3 linked regions of the Sus scrofa genome follow. The protein of the gene in region 2 interacts with the protein of the main gene of each other region in a pairwise test. Links are inferred from orthologs where the notes say so. Each region holds a gene or a part of one and is shown on either strand. Other genes may lie near its edges.

Region 1 (4,468 bases), on a different chromosome or scaffold from region 2:
AAAACAGTCATCTTGGCAACTTCTGATGAAAAGATAAACCTGATTTTAATTTAGTAACAAACTACTCTGAAGCTTTACTTTATTAGAGGATTCAACTCCTTCTCCCAGTTGCTAACACCCGGATTGCTTCCACTCCCAAAAGGCAAGTCCAAACTACCCTGCTGGAGACCTGCTCATGCGTCAGTGCCCCCGGTGTTCCTCTGCAAAGGAGCCAGGATGATGCCAACATTCCTCTCTTCGCTCTCGGAGCTGTAGAGACCGTGCTCTTCAATGTACTCCTGGACAAGATCCGGGACCAAGTAGCGGATGCTCTGGCCCCTGCGGAGGGCTCGCCGGATCTTCGTGGATGAGATGTCGTTGGTGATCCATTCGTTCACCAGGTGGATGTTGTTCTGATGTTTCCACAGCACGTCGGATTCATAGATGAACTTCTGAGTGTCATTTCCAGCCCGGGTGATACATATGAGCCCATAGTCTCCCACGATTTTGGTGATGTCCTCGCTCTTCCACAGATTGGGGACCCCGAAGGACTCCAACAGATCTGCTCCACACAGCAACTTCACCTTTGGCACACCTGGGACGAAGAGGAAAACAGAGCATGGGGCCCTGCCTTTTCATTAAAAATTTTTTTCTCGGAGTTCCCATTGTGGCTCAGTGGGTTAAGAACCTGGCTAGTATCCATGACGATGTGGGTTTGATCCCTGACCTCACTCAGTGGGTTAAGGACCCAGCCGTGAGCTGGGTGGTGTAGGTCTCAGACGTGGCTTGGATCCTATAAGCCTGTAGCTGTAGCTCCAACTCGACCCCTAGCCTAGGAACTTTCATATGCTGCAGATGCAGCCCTAAAAAAACTTTTTTCTCTCTCGCTTTTTTTCTTTTTAGGGCTGAACCTGTGGCACACAGGGGCCCCCAAGCTAGGGGCTGAATTGGAGCTACATTTGTGGCCTACACCCTACACATTGCAGCACTGGATCCAAGTTGCACCTGTGAGCCGCAGCTTGTGGTAATGCCAGATCCTTAACTCACTGAGCGAGGGTGGGGATCAAACTTGCATCTTCATGAGACAATGTCAAGTCTTTAATCCACTGAGCCACAGCGGGAACACCCAGGCTTTGCCTTTTTAATAACTCCTTGCATCAAAATGAATGTGTATGTGTTTTTCTGGCTATCGGGTTCATAGTTTTTATCAGATTTAGATTCTCAGAAGTGAGCCAGAGGAGTTCCCTGATGGTCTATGGTTAGGAGTCAGCACTTTCCCCGCTGCAGCATGAGTTCTCTCTCTGATCTTGGAGTTGAGATCCCACATCAAGCCAGGGTGCCTCCGACTCTCCCTTCCTCTCATCATGAAACTAAGAGGGGGCATGTTCCAGGCAGCCCCCCACTCAATATGAAAAGAAAATACAAAGTGGGTTTGCTCAGCCCCAGAGTCTTTTTAGGGCCATACCCGCAGCATATAGAAGTCACCAGACTAGGGGTCCAATCAGGGCTGCAGCTGCCAGCCTACACCACAGCCACAGCAACACCAGATCCTTAGGGAGGCCAGGGATCAAACCCACATCCTCATGGATACTAGTTGGTTTCATAACCCACTGAGCCACAAGGGGAACTCCAGCCCTAGAGTCTTATCAGCTCTCGTTGGTAGGTCCTGGTAAAATACACAGACCTTTTGTTTTTGTTTGCTCTGCGGATTTCTTCTGACTAAAATCTTGTCTTTGTTCAGTCCACTTCCTCTTCCGTCCTGGCCTGTTCAGTACAGGTGAATCCTGCTGGTGATCACAGCTACTGGCCTCTAGCTTCTCTTGATGGTGCCTATAAAATAACAAAGGAATAGAACGTTTCTCTTTCTCCCAATGCTCCACTGAGATGTCATCCCTCTGGAGACACCTAAGAGCCTCTCATACAATGTTAAAAGTTGGGAGATGAATTAACCCCCCCCCGCCTTTTTTGGGGGGCAGGGGGGCCGCACTCCTGGCGTGGAAGTTCCCAGGCTAGGGGTTGAATCTGAGCGATAGCTGCTGGCCTACACCACAGCCACAGCTACGTGGGATCTGAGCACATCTGTGACCTACACCACAGCTCAGGGCAATGCTGGATCCTTAACCCACTGAGCAAGGCCAAGGATCGAACCTGCATCCTCATGGATACTAGCTGGGTTCGTTACCACTGAGCTACAACAGGAACTCTGAATTAAACACATTTAACCACAGGTCCACACAATGCCTGTCGAGTCAGAATGATGTCTTCCTGTACTCAGTACTGCTGAGTCAGGATGGGTGCTAGCCAGTACACTGCAGCCCTGGCTATGGCTGCCAGGAATGGAAAGCGAGGTTGGAGTTCCCTTGCGATGCAGTGGGTTAAGGATCCAGCATTGTCACTGCAGCAGCTTGGGCCACCGCTATGGCTTGAATTCGATTCCCAGCCTGGGAATTTCCATGTGCTGCAGGCATGGCCAAAAAAAAAAAAAAAAAAAAAGAATGGAAAGCAAAGAAAATCCTGGGAGCACAGCAAATGGTAGCTATTCTTATTCTAAGCTGTATGTGCCTGTGTCATAATAACAAGAGTTAACACGATTTTTTTTTTTTTGGCTGCACCCAAGGCAGGTGGAAGTTCCTGGGAAGGGATAGAACCATGCCACTGAGCCAATGCTATGACGTCAGATCCTAAACCCGCTGCACCACAAGAAAACACCAACCTTGAAATTTTTTTCTTTTTTGTCTTTTCTAGGGCTGTACCTGCGGCATATGGAGGTTCCCAGGCTAGGGGTCTAATCAGAGCTACAGCTGCCAGCCTACACCATAGCCACAGCAACACCAGATTCGAGCCATGTCTGCGACCTACACAGCAGCTCACGGAAACGCCAGATCCTTAACCCACTGGGCGAGGCCAGGGATCAAACCCTCAACCTCTTGGTTCCTAGTCGGATTCGTTTATGCTGCGCCACGTCGGGAACTCCCAACCTTGATTATTTATTGTGTGTTAACCACTACACTAAACCCTTTGCAAGGATGATTTAATTAAATATTGTCGACATGCCGTAGTCATATTATTATCATCCCCACAATGGAGAGGAAGTGAAGGCTTAGAGTTGGCAACTCCAGCTCCTGGCAGAGTCTCTGGGACACAGGAGGCATTCAGTAACAAAGTGGCTGAGTGAATGTTTTGGTTACTATGAAGCAACTATACTACTGCCAGCATTACATCAGAATTGCCATCCCTATTGAGAGAGGAGGACACTGACCAATCCGCCCAAGGTCATTTAGCTTGTAAGTGGCCAAGCCAGGATGTGAACCACATCAGTCTGGTTCCAGCGCCCATTCCCTTGACCACTAAAGAGTGTGGCCTGGCCTAGTAATGAAGACCCCAATGCCAAGGATTAGGTCCTAGAGGGTGACAAGTGCCCAAAGCCTAAAAGGAAGAGACCACAGGGACCACAGGCAGGGTTTGTACAGTGTCCTCTGGGCGGGCAGCAAGATGTCCATGGCTTTACAACTATGCAGGTCCTCACGGAACATGAGCCACACCTGTAGGCGCCAACTCTGGGTCCTTAGTGCTTATAATCCCTTTGCCCCCCCCCCCTTTTTTTGGCCAAATCCCGAGGCATGTGAAGTTCCTGGGCTGGGAATTTGAACCTGCACCACCGCAGTGACCTGAGCTACAGCAGTGACAATGCCAGATCCTTAACCTGATGAGCCACACCCTCTCTTGAATCGCTGAGTTGAACACATAATGGACAGTAAAGCTGCTATGGAGCCAGAGAAGGCGGGGCAAGGTGGGGGACCCTGGAGTCTGGTCTCTGATGGGAGAACTTCTGGGCGACAAACAGAGGACACTGTCTTCTCCCAAGTCACCGTGCTAGGTGTTGGCTGCTGGCTGTGTTCAATCGCACCCTAAACACATTTCCCAGAGGTCCTCAGAGGCAGGTTCCGGGGGTCACTGAGATTCCGCTGATGAGATTGACTTGTGAGAGCCGGAAGGAAGGCTGGGGACCTGACAAGTCGTCCTTCTGTGTAAGCCTGGCGGCCAGACTCTACTCCATTGTCCAGGCACCAACACAGGAAGACTGGGACAGTGTAACAGCATCAGTGGAAGCAAAAGCAGGAACAGTTTTCTTCACTCCCGCTGTGGCCAAGGAGACGTGACCTTGACACAAACCACTGCTTCCACTCTTCCAGCCCTTTCAACATTTTCGGATGAGCACCGAAAATCCCTTTCTGCTTAGAATACTCATAATGGTTTCTGCTTCCTATCTGAACCCTGATGGATACGGCTAGAACCAGAAGGTTAAGAACTCTTAGACATTAGAGAGAAAGGTCTTTTTTGGAAGGTCCTGGTGTTTTATACTCAAGACAACATTAAGTAATAATTAAATGTTACCCATTCTGGTTTCTTTTTTTTTACTTTTTTTTTTTTGTCTTTTTGCCTTTTCTAGGGCCGCTTACCATGGCATATGGAGGTTCCCAGGCTAGGG
Region 2 (5,822 bases):
GAAAAAGCCGAGAAAATGACCAGCGCTCCAAACAAGGTGCCCCGAATTTCTAGGAGGAACACCTGTAACAGGGTTCATTAGGAACTTGGCTGTGAGAGGTGCTTTAAACAAGCATTAGCCAACATATTCTCTATTTCTGTAAACAAACAAGATGAGCACTATTTGTGGAAGGAACTTTAAAAGCCTGTTATCTACAAAGAGCAAAATGTACTTTTGTCTGTGAACGAACTGGGCTAAGTTCGCTTACCACTACACCCACTGAGAGAGGTAAGTGGAAATTCAGTGCATCGTACAACTGACTTGAAGGAACTCTCTCATTTTTCTGAATACAGTAGCCCTTACAGTCATAAATTACTTTCACCTTGAGTCTTCAGCCCAAATCCCCACCTCTGCCACCACAGCTTTTACCTTCTGTGGGGGAAACAGAGCAGTGAAGACTTGGCTCATCACTTCTCCGCTCATCAAAAAAGCAGAGGCTTACAGTACGTTAAAAATGCAGTTGGTTTCCTGGGGCGCTGGAGTCAATACTCCACCCTCCCCCTGCCACTTCTGCTAATGGCACAGCTACCTCTTCCGAGCAGCAAGTGGCTTTCGCAACCCAGACGGCACAGACAGGGATGAAATTAAAAAACAGAACCTACAGGACTTGAATCCCACTCCTTCCCGACTAAACTTTCCCAGGTGATGCCAACGTGCAGCCTTGAAACCACTTTCAGCCTTGAAGTTTGGGAGGAATGAATTGCACTTGTAGCTCCAGGAAAAAATGAAGATGAAATTTAAGATTTTTATCCCATCTTCCTGGCCAGTAAGACTTATGGAGACACTGGCTGAGGGTTTCTGGGAAATTTTACTCGTTCTCCAGTGAAAACTTCTGAAAAAATTGATAGGTGTGAAATGGATGTGAAGTCTGAAAGCGCCATTGGCCATTTTTACCAACCAAAAGGGGAAGCAGTTTAGAACAAAGCAGAATCAATCAGTGCTCGCTTCGGCAGCACATATACTAAAATGGGAAAGATACAGAGATTAGCATGGCCCCTGCGCAAGGATGACACGCAAATTCGTGAAGCGTTCCATAAAAAAAAAACAAAGCAGAATCAAAAGTGGGCAGGAAGTTATCAAGCCCATATCCTTGATGACATGACAAAATGATGTCTGCAACCAGAACATCTTTGGTAGTCATGGTTCAGTTCCCCCTCATCTATAACCTTTAGGAGCCCCAAACTAGAAAGCAACACATAGGAAATGCAAAGTAAAGAAAAGGGTGGAATTTAATCTTTATTTACAGGACACTGCAAGATATGAAATTCCACATAGAAATAAGAACCCTACTGAGAGTAGAAGCTTCATACAGTATGTACAGTTTGGAACTGTTCAAGTATAGTTTCAGTTGTAAAAAGTGCTACAATAACAAACCACATTTAAAAAGAGCTCTTAGTAGAGAAACAGTAAGACCAACTTTTATCAAACATAGTACGCAACAAACAACTTTATGCCTCAGATGTGCAGTCTAAAAGTTGAAGGTCCCAGTAGCGCTGTCCTGAACTTGGAATGTATATCCTTCAGAGGTAGTTTCTGGCACAACATTTTGATCTTCCTCTTCCTGGAGTATTTAAAAACAAAACAATATAAAATGTTTCTAAGAGGCAGATGCCTACAAGTTTGTATTTACTCTTTTTTCTTCTTTTATCTCTAAGCTGAAAACGAAAACCAGTTTACCCATGTCTCCCACCCCCACTTTTGGCAACCACAAATCTGTTCTTGTGTGCATGTTTCTTTTTGGCCATGGCAATGACTGCAGCATTTGGAAGTTCCTGGGCCAGGGATAGAACCTGCACCACAGAAGCACCAATAGAGGATCCTTAACCTGCTTAGCCACAGGGGAACTCCGTGTGTGTGTTTTTAACATCACACATATAAGAGAGATCACCTGGTGGTATTTGTCTAACTCATTTCACTTAGCATAAATACCTACTAGGTATTCACTCCTAAGGTCCTCATTTGCATATTTCACCTTTAATCCTGCATTGTATCTTTTTTTTTTTCCGTCTCTTGTCTTTTTAGGGCTGCACCCTCGGCATATGGAGGTTCCCAGGCTAGAGGTCTAATCGGAGTTGTTGCCAGCAGCCTACGCCAGAGCCATAGCAATGTCAGATCTGAGCTGCGTCTCTGACCTACACCACAGCTCACGGCAACACCAGATCCTTAACCCACTGGGTGAGGTCAGGGATTGAATCTGAAACCTCATGGTTCCTAGTCGGATTCATTTCCACTGCACCAAGATGGGAACTCCCCCCTTTGTTTTGTCTTTTGTAATCCTGCGCCATATTTTCAATATCTGAAAGAGTGGATGGAAAGCTCTGAAACTTGCCAACTCATGAGTGCCTGGGAGGGAAGTTATGAACAGGTTAAGAAATGCTACTACGGCAACAGAAAAGCAGAGATTTTCTTAACCTGTCACTTCAGAAGGCAGCTTATTAGGCCAGAGGCTCACTTCTCTAACGTCTATACAAACTCACTCTCAAGATAGTCTAAGCTCTCTAAGGCTATTCATTTGAAAGTAAATGGGTGACTTTTTAATACCTCAGTTTAAAAAGATGGTATTATCTTCAAGTCAAACATGAGATGAACAAATATGTATGTTATACCCCACTTGAGACTGATATGATATACTGCTATACTGAACAGCGCTCATCTAAAAAGTATGAGGAAAAATATCTTATGGGCTTAACCTTAAATGTGTATTTTTCCAGTTCTTATTGACATTGCTACTCACCTCCACAGAGAAATACTTCTCAATCAAGTTTAATGAAGCTTTGTACACAGACTCATTTTCATGGTTTTGGAGAGCTTCAATTTTGTCCAGACCTCCACATTCTTCAATCATTATACTAAGTTTCTCAGTTTCACCTAGTTTCTCAGCAGCCTGCAAAAAATTCCAAGTTTAGTAGCCTACACTTTGAAAGACCTTTTTTTTTTTTTTTTTTTTTTTTTTTTTTGGTCTTTTTGTCTTTATAAGGCCGCAACTGCAGCACATGGAGGTTCCCAGGCTAGGGGTCTAATGGAGCTGTAGCCGCCGGCCTACACCACAGCCACAGCAACACCAGATCCTTAACCCACTGAGCAAGGCCAGGGATCGAACCCCAAACCTCATGATTCCTAGTTGGATTCATTTCCACTGTGCCATGACGGGAACTCCCTGAAAGTTCTATTTTAATGAAGAAAACAATTTCTATGTTTTAGTGTCCATGTGTATCAGACAGAAATAAACACGTGAGTTTATTTAACAACCCTATGAGAGAGAACTATCTGCATTTTACCTATGTTTTATATTTTTGAAAAATTCAAGCGAATCAGATTTTGCTTCTTAGCAACTACTTCTGTAGCTTTCAGCCACAAAGATCTTAGTATAGTTCTTAACCTTTTCTGTACATCAAAATCACCCAGGCAACTTTAAAAATGACACTATATCCAGGTTCAGTTGGCCTGTGATGGGAATAGGAAATTACTGTTTTGTAAAGACTCCAGATAATCCCAAGGTGTATGTAGTAAGAGTGGAGAATCACTGTCCAAGGGTAAAGATGGCCTGTGGTTTGTAAAAACAAATTCCTCTGACTGGATCATTTGTTGATACCAAGAGAATGGTACGGTGGTCAGATACTTTTCAAAGTCCTCAACTTTTAGGACATACATAAATATTTACAAGTAAAATAACGTATTTGCTTCAAAATAAAAACTTAAGGTAAGTGTGAGTAGGAAAAGAAGCCAAATGTTGCCGACTTATTTATGTTAGGTAATCATATTCTAAACTCAACTTTGATATGTGAAAATTTCCATAATCAAAGTTGTTGAGTAAGACCTAACCACCATTAAATACTGACAAAGTGCCATGTGCCAGCACATGTGGATCACTCAGGGCTTGAAACCAGAAGAAAAATATAACTGACCGGGTCGTTCGAATTTTTTTTTTTCTTTTTGCCTTTTCTAGGGCTGCACCTGCAGCATATGGAGATTCCCAGGCTAGGGGTCTAATAGGAGCTGTAGCCGCCAGCCTACACCAGAGCCACAGCAACGCAGGATCCGAGCCGCGTCTGTGACCTACACCACAGTTCATGGCAACGATGGATCCTTAGCCCACTGAGCGAGCCAAGGATCAAACCCGCAACCTCGTGGTTCCCAGTTGGATTCGTTAACCACCAAGCCACGACAGGAACTCCTGGTTGGTCAAATTTAATTTCATACTGAATTACAGTATGAAATTGGGGAATCAGGAGTTCCTGTCATGGCACAGCAGAAAACAAATCTGACTAGGAACCATAAGGTTTTGGGTTCAATCCCTGGCCTCACTCAGTGGGTTAAAGATCTGGCGTTGCTGTGAGCTGTGTTGTAGGTCGCAGACGCAGCTTGGATCTGATGTTGCTGTGGCTCTGGTGTAGGCCAGTGGCTACAGCTCTGATTCGACCCCCAGCGTGGCAACCTCCATATGCTGCCAGTGCGGCCCTAAAAAGACAAAAGACCAAAAAAAAAAACCAAAAAACAAAAACTGGGGGATTAAGACATCTTGACAAAATAAACAGATATGAATCGTGTCCACATATGTACCTGACCTCAATTCAGTCACATCATGCATTTGTCATTCCTTTTATATCTCTTATAATCCTTGCCAGGTCTTATTTTATCAAGAGTGTGGCTCATATGAAGAGGCTTTCTGATTCTGTGGCCCACTCAGGAAATTTAGCTGCCTCCACCCCCACCTTGCCATCATCTAAATAGTAAACCAGGGAATTCCCACCATGGCTCAGCGGAAACGAACCTGATTAACATCCATGAGGACAAAGGTTTGATCCCTGGCCTCGCTCAGTGGATTAAGGATCTGGCGTTGCCATGAGCTGTGATGGAGGCTGGCAGCTACAGCTCCAATTCGACCCCTAGCCTAAGAACCTCCATATGCCACCGGTGCGGCCCTAAAAAAAGACCAAAAAACAAAAAAAACCCACCAAACCTCTAGTGTCATCACTTTTGAGGCTAAGCTTTGATCCCTGACCTGTGAATTTCTGCATGCCAAGGGTGTGGCCAAAAAAAAAAAAAAGGCAACTTACCTGAAAGATATTAGAAATGGCATCCAGAATAACCAGGATAATTTTGGTATCTTTTGCAGTTAAGAGGTTCATCAATGGTTCTATTATGCCACAGTGGACAAGGTACACGATCTGTTCAACTGTTCCACCACTTGTGTAATTGGTCACAGCCCATACAGCTTCCTTTTGTGTCTTAAAGTCTGCCTAATAAACACAAGAAAACAGGTGTATTTCAGAATGGGCATAAAAATAAGATTCCAAAAGTACTCTTTTAGAAAAATAGTGACTAAAACTACCATCTGACTATTATTTAGCAAAAGACTATAAGTAGGACCTAACATTAGTACATTAAGAACCTTATGAAGTACAGTTCTACCAAGTGGCCTCTGGAAGCAATCCTTTATGAAGGCCTAAGGCTTCTTACCTTCGAGAGAACGCCAACAAGGAATGGGACCAATCCATGATTTACAACTTGCTGTATCTGGTCCTGGCGACCAGCTGTAATATTTGACATTGTCCACGTAGCCTCCTTCTGAATATTTGTTTTGGAGTTTGTTAGCAGGCTGGGAAAGACGGCGAGTGCTCCTGCATCTATGACAACCTGCGTCTGTTCATCTGTGCCAGTGACAATGTTTCCTATTGCTCTTAGTGCAGGAGTCTGGAAAGGGAAAAATGCTGATGTTGCTGGTTATCCTTCATCGTTTCTACCACTGCTCGAAGTCGCTACACCCTAAAAGTCTGGACAAG
Region 3 (5,164 bases), on a different chromosome or scaffold from region 2:
GTGATAAGGGCATGTGGTTTGCATTTTGTTTAAAAGTCCTTATATACTAGGTGTGTACTGAAGTTTTCAAATTACTCTGGCAGGGAGTTCCCATTGTGGCACAGCAGAAAGGAATCTGACTAGTATCCATGAGGATGCGGGTTCAATCCCTGGCCTTGCTCAGTGGGTCAGGGATCTAGCATTGCTGTGAGCTGTAATTTGAGTCACAGTTGCACCTCAGATCCTGAATTGCTGTGGCTGTGGTATAGGAGGGCATCTATAACTCCAATTAGACTTCCAGCCTGGGAACTTCCGTATGTTGTGGGTGCGGCCCTAAAAAGCAAAAAGCAAACAAAATTTTCTGTACAATGTGATCTGTTGTAAAAATTTATTAAAGATTATAATCATTACGGAATGCTGAAGTTTTAAGTTGTATTAGAGAGAAATACCAACATGGAAACACTTAAAGGGGTAAAAAACTCACTCCAACCTGAAGAGAAAAAGGCGAGTAGAAAATGAAGTTGGACTTTAAATGTGCTCTACATTTACATTTTAAAAGTGAATAAATACAAACTCCTGAAAATCCTGAAAACAAAATGAAAATTTAAGCCACTGCCAGAATATTCAAACAAAATTTAAGACCTCATTTTAATTATGAATTTCTACAAACCATAAATCTGAAGTAAACAATTCGTTAAATTGGCAAATGATGTATTATCAACAGTGGAAATAGCCAGTCTATGGTACTCAGACACCTGTTTTTTTCATAAAAATTAAAAAGAAACTGACTTGCTTTACAAACCCGTTAGATTCTCTGATATTCATACCCAAGAAAATACAAACTATATCAAAATTACTATTACTGACATGAAATCCTAAAAGCTGACAAGCAATTACAAAGCTATTCAAGGAGATGAAGTTCTACAATCATCAGGAACATACTTATGTGTTCTAATAGTCTTAATATATGAGATTTAAAGTTTAGAATATAAACTATCTTTGAGCATATCTCTTTTCTCAAAACTTGAACATGCTAGATCAGAGCTGACACCTATTAGGGGAACTAATATCTAAAACAACATAATCAGAGTTTATGGTACTAAAACAGATTTAACAGTAACTTTTACTGAATGTAACATGCTCAATTAGAAGCTTCTTATGAATCATCCTCTCAATTTACTTAAATTCTTTAGACCACCACAGTGTCACTGCCTCAGGTAAGAAATAATAAACGGAGGTACTACTATCTTTGTTTTAACAAATGAGAAAAATTAAGGCTCAGATAACTACATATGCTACCCAACACACATAGTTGTGAGGCTCCAAAGTGGAGCCAAACAATTGGACTCCAGAGCACATGACTGAGCACTGTCTTCACCCATTCCACTGTGACTGGAAGGACAGCAATTTAGGTAGCAATAGTATCTTATGAAATATCATTCCCATCTCCCCCTCCCCCAAACTCAAAACTACCAACTAAGGGTTAATTGGTCTCTACCACACAAAATAACCCAATAAGTTAAGTCTATTATAAACCTAACATTTTGATTAAGTTGATGCCAGTCGTAACATGCAGAACTAATACCAGATTGTTGTTAGCTTTATGGAGAAAGAGGAAGAGAAAGAGAGGACCGAACAGAAAGACTATAATCAATGAAAAATACATTCAACCCAGACCTTACCTAAAACCTGGCCAGCAATCATTCGGCCATCCTCTCCTGCAACAGCAGCTCGAGCATTTCTCTCATTAACGTACTGAACGAAGGCAAAGCCCTTATGAACAGAGCAACCCACGATTTTGCCATATTTTGAGAAGATTGCCTCCACATCAGATTTCTTGACCACAAGAGTATTGAGATTCCCAATGAATACACGGGAATTCATGGAGCGAGGATCTGTCTTGTTGGTAACGTTGCTGGCCATTGTCTTTGATGATAAGGTAATTCACAAAGCCGAAAAACTGAAAGGAAAAAAGAAATGCATTCAGGTGAAAAGATGCTAAAAACAAAATAATTCTTGATTAAAAACTTACTCTGAACCATCATGACTACCTAAATATAAGTCAACTAAAAGGATCTCACAGCAGCAAGTGTATTACTATTCAAAGACTATGGCACCTGAATACATCCTTATAGAATTTCACTCTTCTTTAGTATATTCTTGCTAGACTATCACTTCAAGGGGGCTGGGAAAGAGGGAATCTTCTTCACAGACTAGGGGCAACACGATCTTCTTGGACATTATTAATTCCAAGTGATATCCCTGTTTTAAAGTCCTCAAGCAAATTAGAACCCCATAAACTCTAAATTTCTCCTTGTTTTTCACCTTCCGAGTCACACTAACTTAACCATTCCTTGCCAACAATAACTCTACTTCTTGCGCACTGCTTTTACTAAAATGAGCTCATTCATTCCCCCAAATTCTGCCCACAAACTATCTTGAGCTAGATGAATGTGGACAAATGACACTCTACCCTTTACATATAATTAACTTTATTATACAAAAGCATTAAATAGAAGCAATTCACTCACTCTGGAATTAATCTATTTCCAGGTACTTCAACTAATTATAATATGCCATAGATATATATCTTAAGTATCAATACAACCTTTTTACAGAAAGCAATGACTCTTTACTTTTTGTGTGAGAATATATTACAAACTACAACCAAGATATTTAATAATACTGGATGGTGATGATGATAAAACTAGCAAGTAGAACACTGCATGAATCAAAGGACCCAGAGAACTACGGAAAAAAATACAACTTTCCTCACACTGTTTCAAAACAAAAATTACCTTTATGTCTGTCTGTCATGGAGGCAGAATCCTATTATAATTACCCAGAGATTCATGCTATCATTTTAGGTCTTCCAAAGTGAAATATTTTTTGGAATTCCCATTGTAGCTCAGTGGATTAAGAACCTGACACTGTGTCTGTGAGGATGTGAGTTTGATCCCTGGCCTTGGGTTAAAGGATCTGGTGTTGCCACAAGCTGCAGCTCTGATTCAAACCCTAGCCCAGGAACTTCCATATGCTACAGGTGCGGCGGCTATAAAAAGAAAAAAAAAGATTTTTTGGGGGGTCGCATCCACACCAGAGTAGCAACCCAAGCTGCTGCAGTGACAACACTGGACAATGGATCCTCAACCTGCTGAGTCACAAGAGAACTCCAAAGTAAAGATGTTTTGACATTCTTTAGCCATTTTTTTGGCTATGTCCCAGGCATGCCCAGGTCCCAGGCTAGTAGCACTGGCAATGCCAAATCCTTAGCTATTAGGCCACCAGGCAACTCCAAAATTCTTTAGCTTTTAATCAGTCCACTGCTCCTCCCCTCTCCAACCAAAGTTAAACCTGGTTTAAATGGATGCACCTTAGATTCTGAGTTAACATACTTAAGATTATTTCTCATGTAGCCCTTTGAAAGGTACCGAAGAATCTCAAAAAAATACCAATGTCCAATATCTATTATTTTTCCAATCCTCAAGAGAATGACAAACTAGTTTTCATGGGTTACATAAAAATGTCTTATACACACATAGAAAAAAAAAATTCAACATTTATATATGATCACTACCATTCTGACCCTGAAAACAACTGGTCATTTCACAAGCATACAGGTTTTAAAGCTGTAACAACAGCCTTTACCTCCTATCCTTTCTGAAATTCAAAAAACAGCTCATCTTTATTTTGGTTTCTAAGTTATATCTTTATAAATAGTCTTTTTGGACTAAGCAATAAAAAATTAACCACAGTGGCTACTGAGAATCAACAACCTTTCAATTAAGTGGGAGTGCCAGAAAGCCTTAGAACACCAAAGAATCAAAATCGAAACCTACTAAAAGGTCTAACTGGCTGCAAATATTTTTGCTTAGCTATTAGGGTTTACTATTATTATAAGTGGAAATATAAACTATTTTTCAGCAAATGTTTTTCACTAACAATAAATATATTAATAGCAAATACTGGAAAAATTCTCTCTAGGTTTCAACAAAAACAAAACTTGGTGTCAAGGCATCCCCATCAACTCCAAATGCAAGCTAACATGCATGGTATCTATTACTGTGGGAGTCTAAAAGACCCAGAAATAGAAGAATCCCAAAATATCCAGCTAGTATTTACTGGAAAGGGAAGTGATGTTAGAATAGCAGTTCCAACAGGGAAGGTTTTGTCTGCTCCAAAATGGATAAGTACAAGGTACTGCAGTAAAACAGTCTCAAGATGCTAGAGCAGTTTAGTATCTGTAAAATTTCAAAGCGAACTCAGCAGCCCCATGTACACCATTCCTTTCTCAATCCCTTTCTTCCCTCTAAAACACCTAATTTTAAAGTAAAATCCTTTTAAAATGTACTAAATGATATCACCTAAACATTTACCCCTAGATAGTATAGTCTTATTCATTAAAACAAACTTGAGGAATTTCCCATTGTGGCTCAGTGGTAACAAACCCAACTAATATCTGTGAAGATGAGGGTCTGATCCCTGGTCTTGCTCTGTGGGTTAAGATCCCGTGTTACCACAAGCTTTGGTGTAGGTTGCAGATGCATGGATCTAGTGTGGCTGCGGAGTAGGCCAGCAGCAGCAGCTCTGATTCAACCCCTAGCCCAGGAACTTCCATATGCCACAGATGTGGCCATTAACTAATAATTAAGAATCCCACTGCAGCAGTTTGGGTTGCTGTGACAGCGTGAGTTCAATGCCCGGCCTGTTGCAGTGGGTTAAAGGATCTGGTACTGCGGACTCAATCCCTAGCCTGGGAACTTCCATATGCTGCTGGTAAGGCCATTAAAAAGAAAAAAAAAAAAGAAAAAAAATCAAAATGCAGTATACACAATTGGATAATATGTAACTGGAGGCAAATAAACTACCTATATAAAAACTATGTACTCAGGAAAGAAACGGCAAAAATATTTAAAAATATTGTTCCATGGGTACTCTTTTGGTTAATTCATTGTTAACACCTTCATAGTTTTTTATATTATCCCAGTTTTCTTCAATGAAATAAATACAAGCTGCAGGGGAGTTCCTGTCGTGGCACAGCAGAAACGAAGCTGACTAGGAACCATGAGGTTGCGGGTTTGATCCCTGGCCTTGCTCAGTGGGTTAAGGATCTGGTGTTGATGTGAGCTGTGGTGTAGTTTGCAGATTTGTGGCTAGGATCTGGCGTTGCTATGGGTCTGGCATA

Evidence for each region.
Region 1: the proteins of KPNA2 (region 2) and NMNAT1 interact in a two-hybrid assay, tested with the Homo sapiens proteins (3 studies listed by BioGRID and IntAct). The two-hybrid records come from large-scale screens. The link is inferred for Sus scrofa from reciprocal best matches to the Homo sapiens genes KPNA2 and NMNAT1.
Region 3: the proteins of KPNA2 (region 2) and HNRNPC interact in binary tests that used the Homo sapiens proteins (3 or more experiments, as listed by UniProt). The link is inferred for Sus scrofa from reciprocal best matches to the Homo sapiens genes KPNA2 and HNRNPC.

What each region holds. Positions count from the first base shown.
Region 1 is NC_010448.4:70,301,177-70,305,644, reverse strand, and holds part of NMNAT1 (nicotinamide/nicotinic acid mononucleotide adenylyltransferase 1), read right to left. Parts: intron 1,810-4,468; coding exon 1,664-1,809; intron 575-1,663; coding exon 174-574; 3' UTR 170-173; exon of another isoform or gene 1-169.
Region 2 is NC_010454.4:14,292,178-14,297,999, reverse strand, and holds the end of KPNA2 (importin subunit alpha-1), read right to left. Parts: intron 5,734-5,822; coding exon 5,500-5,733; intron 5,280-5,499; coding exon 5,097-5,279; intron 2,924-5,096; coding exon 2,774-2,923; intron 1,601-2,773; coding exon 1,508-1,600; 3' UTR 1,251-1,507; downstream 1-1,250.
Region 3 is NC_010449.5:77,947,526-77,952,689, reverse strand, and holds part of HNRNPC (heterogeneous nuclear ribonucleoproteins C1/C2), read right to left. Parts: intron 1,940-5,164; 5' UTR 1,903-1,939; coding exon 1,662-1,902; intron 1-1,661. UniProt on the Homo sapiens protein: Binds pre-mRNA and nucleates the assembly of 40S hnRNP particles. Interacts with poly-U tracts in the 3'-UTR or 5'-UTR of mRNA and modulates the stability and the level of translation of bound mRNA molecules. Single HNRNPC tetramers bind 230-240 nucleotides.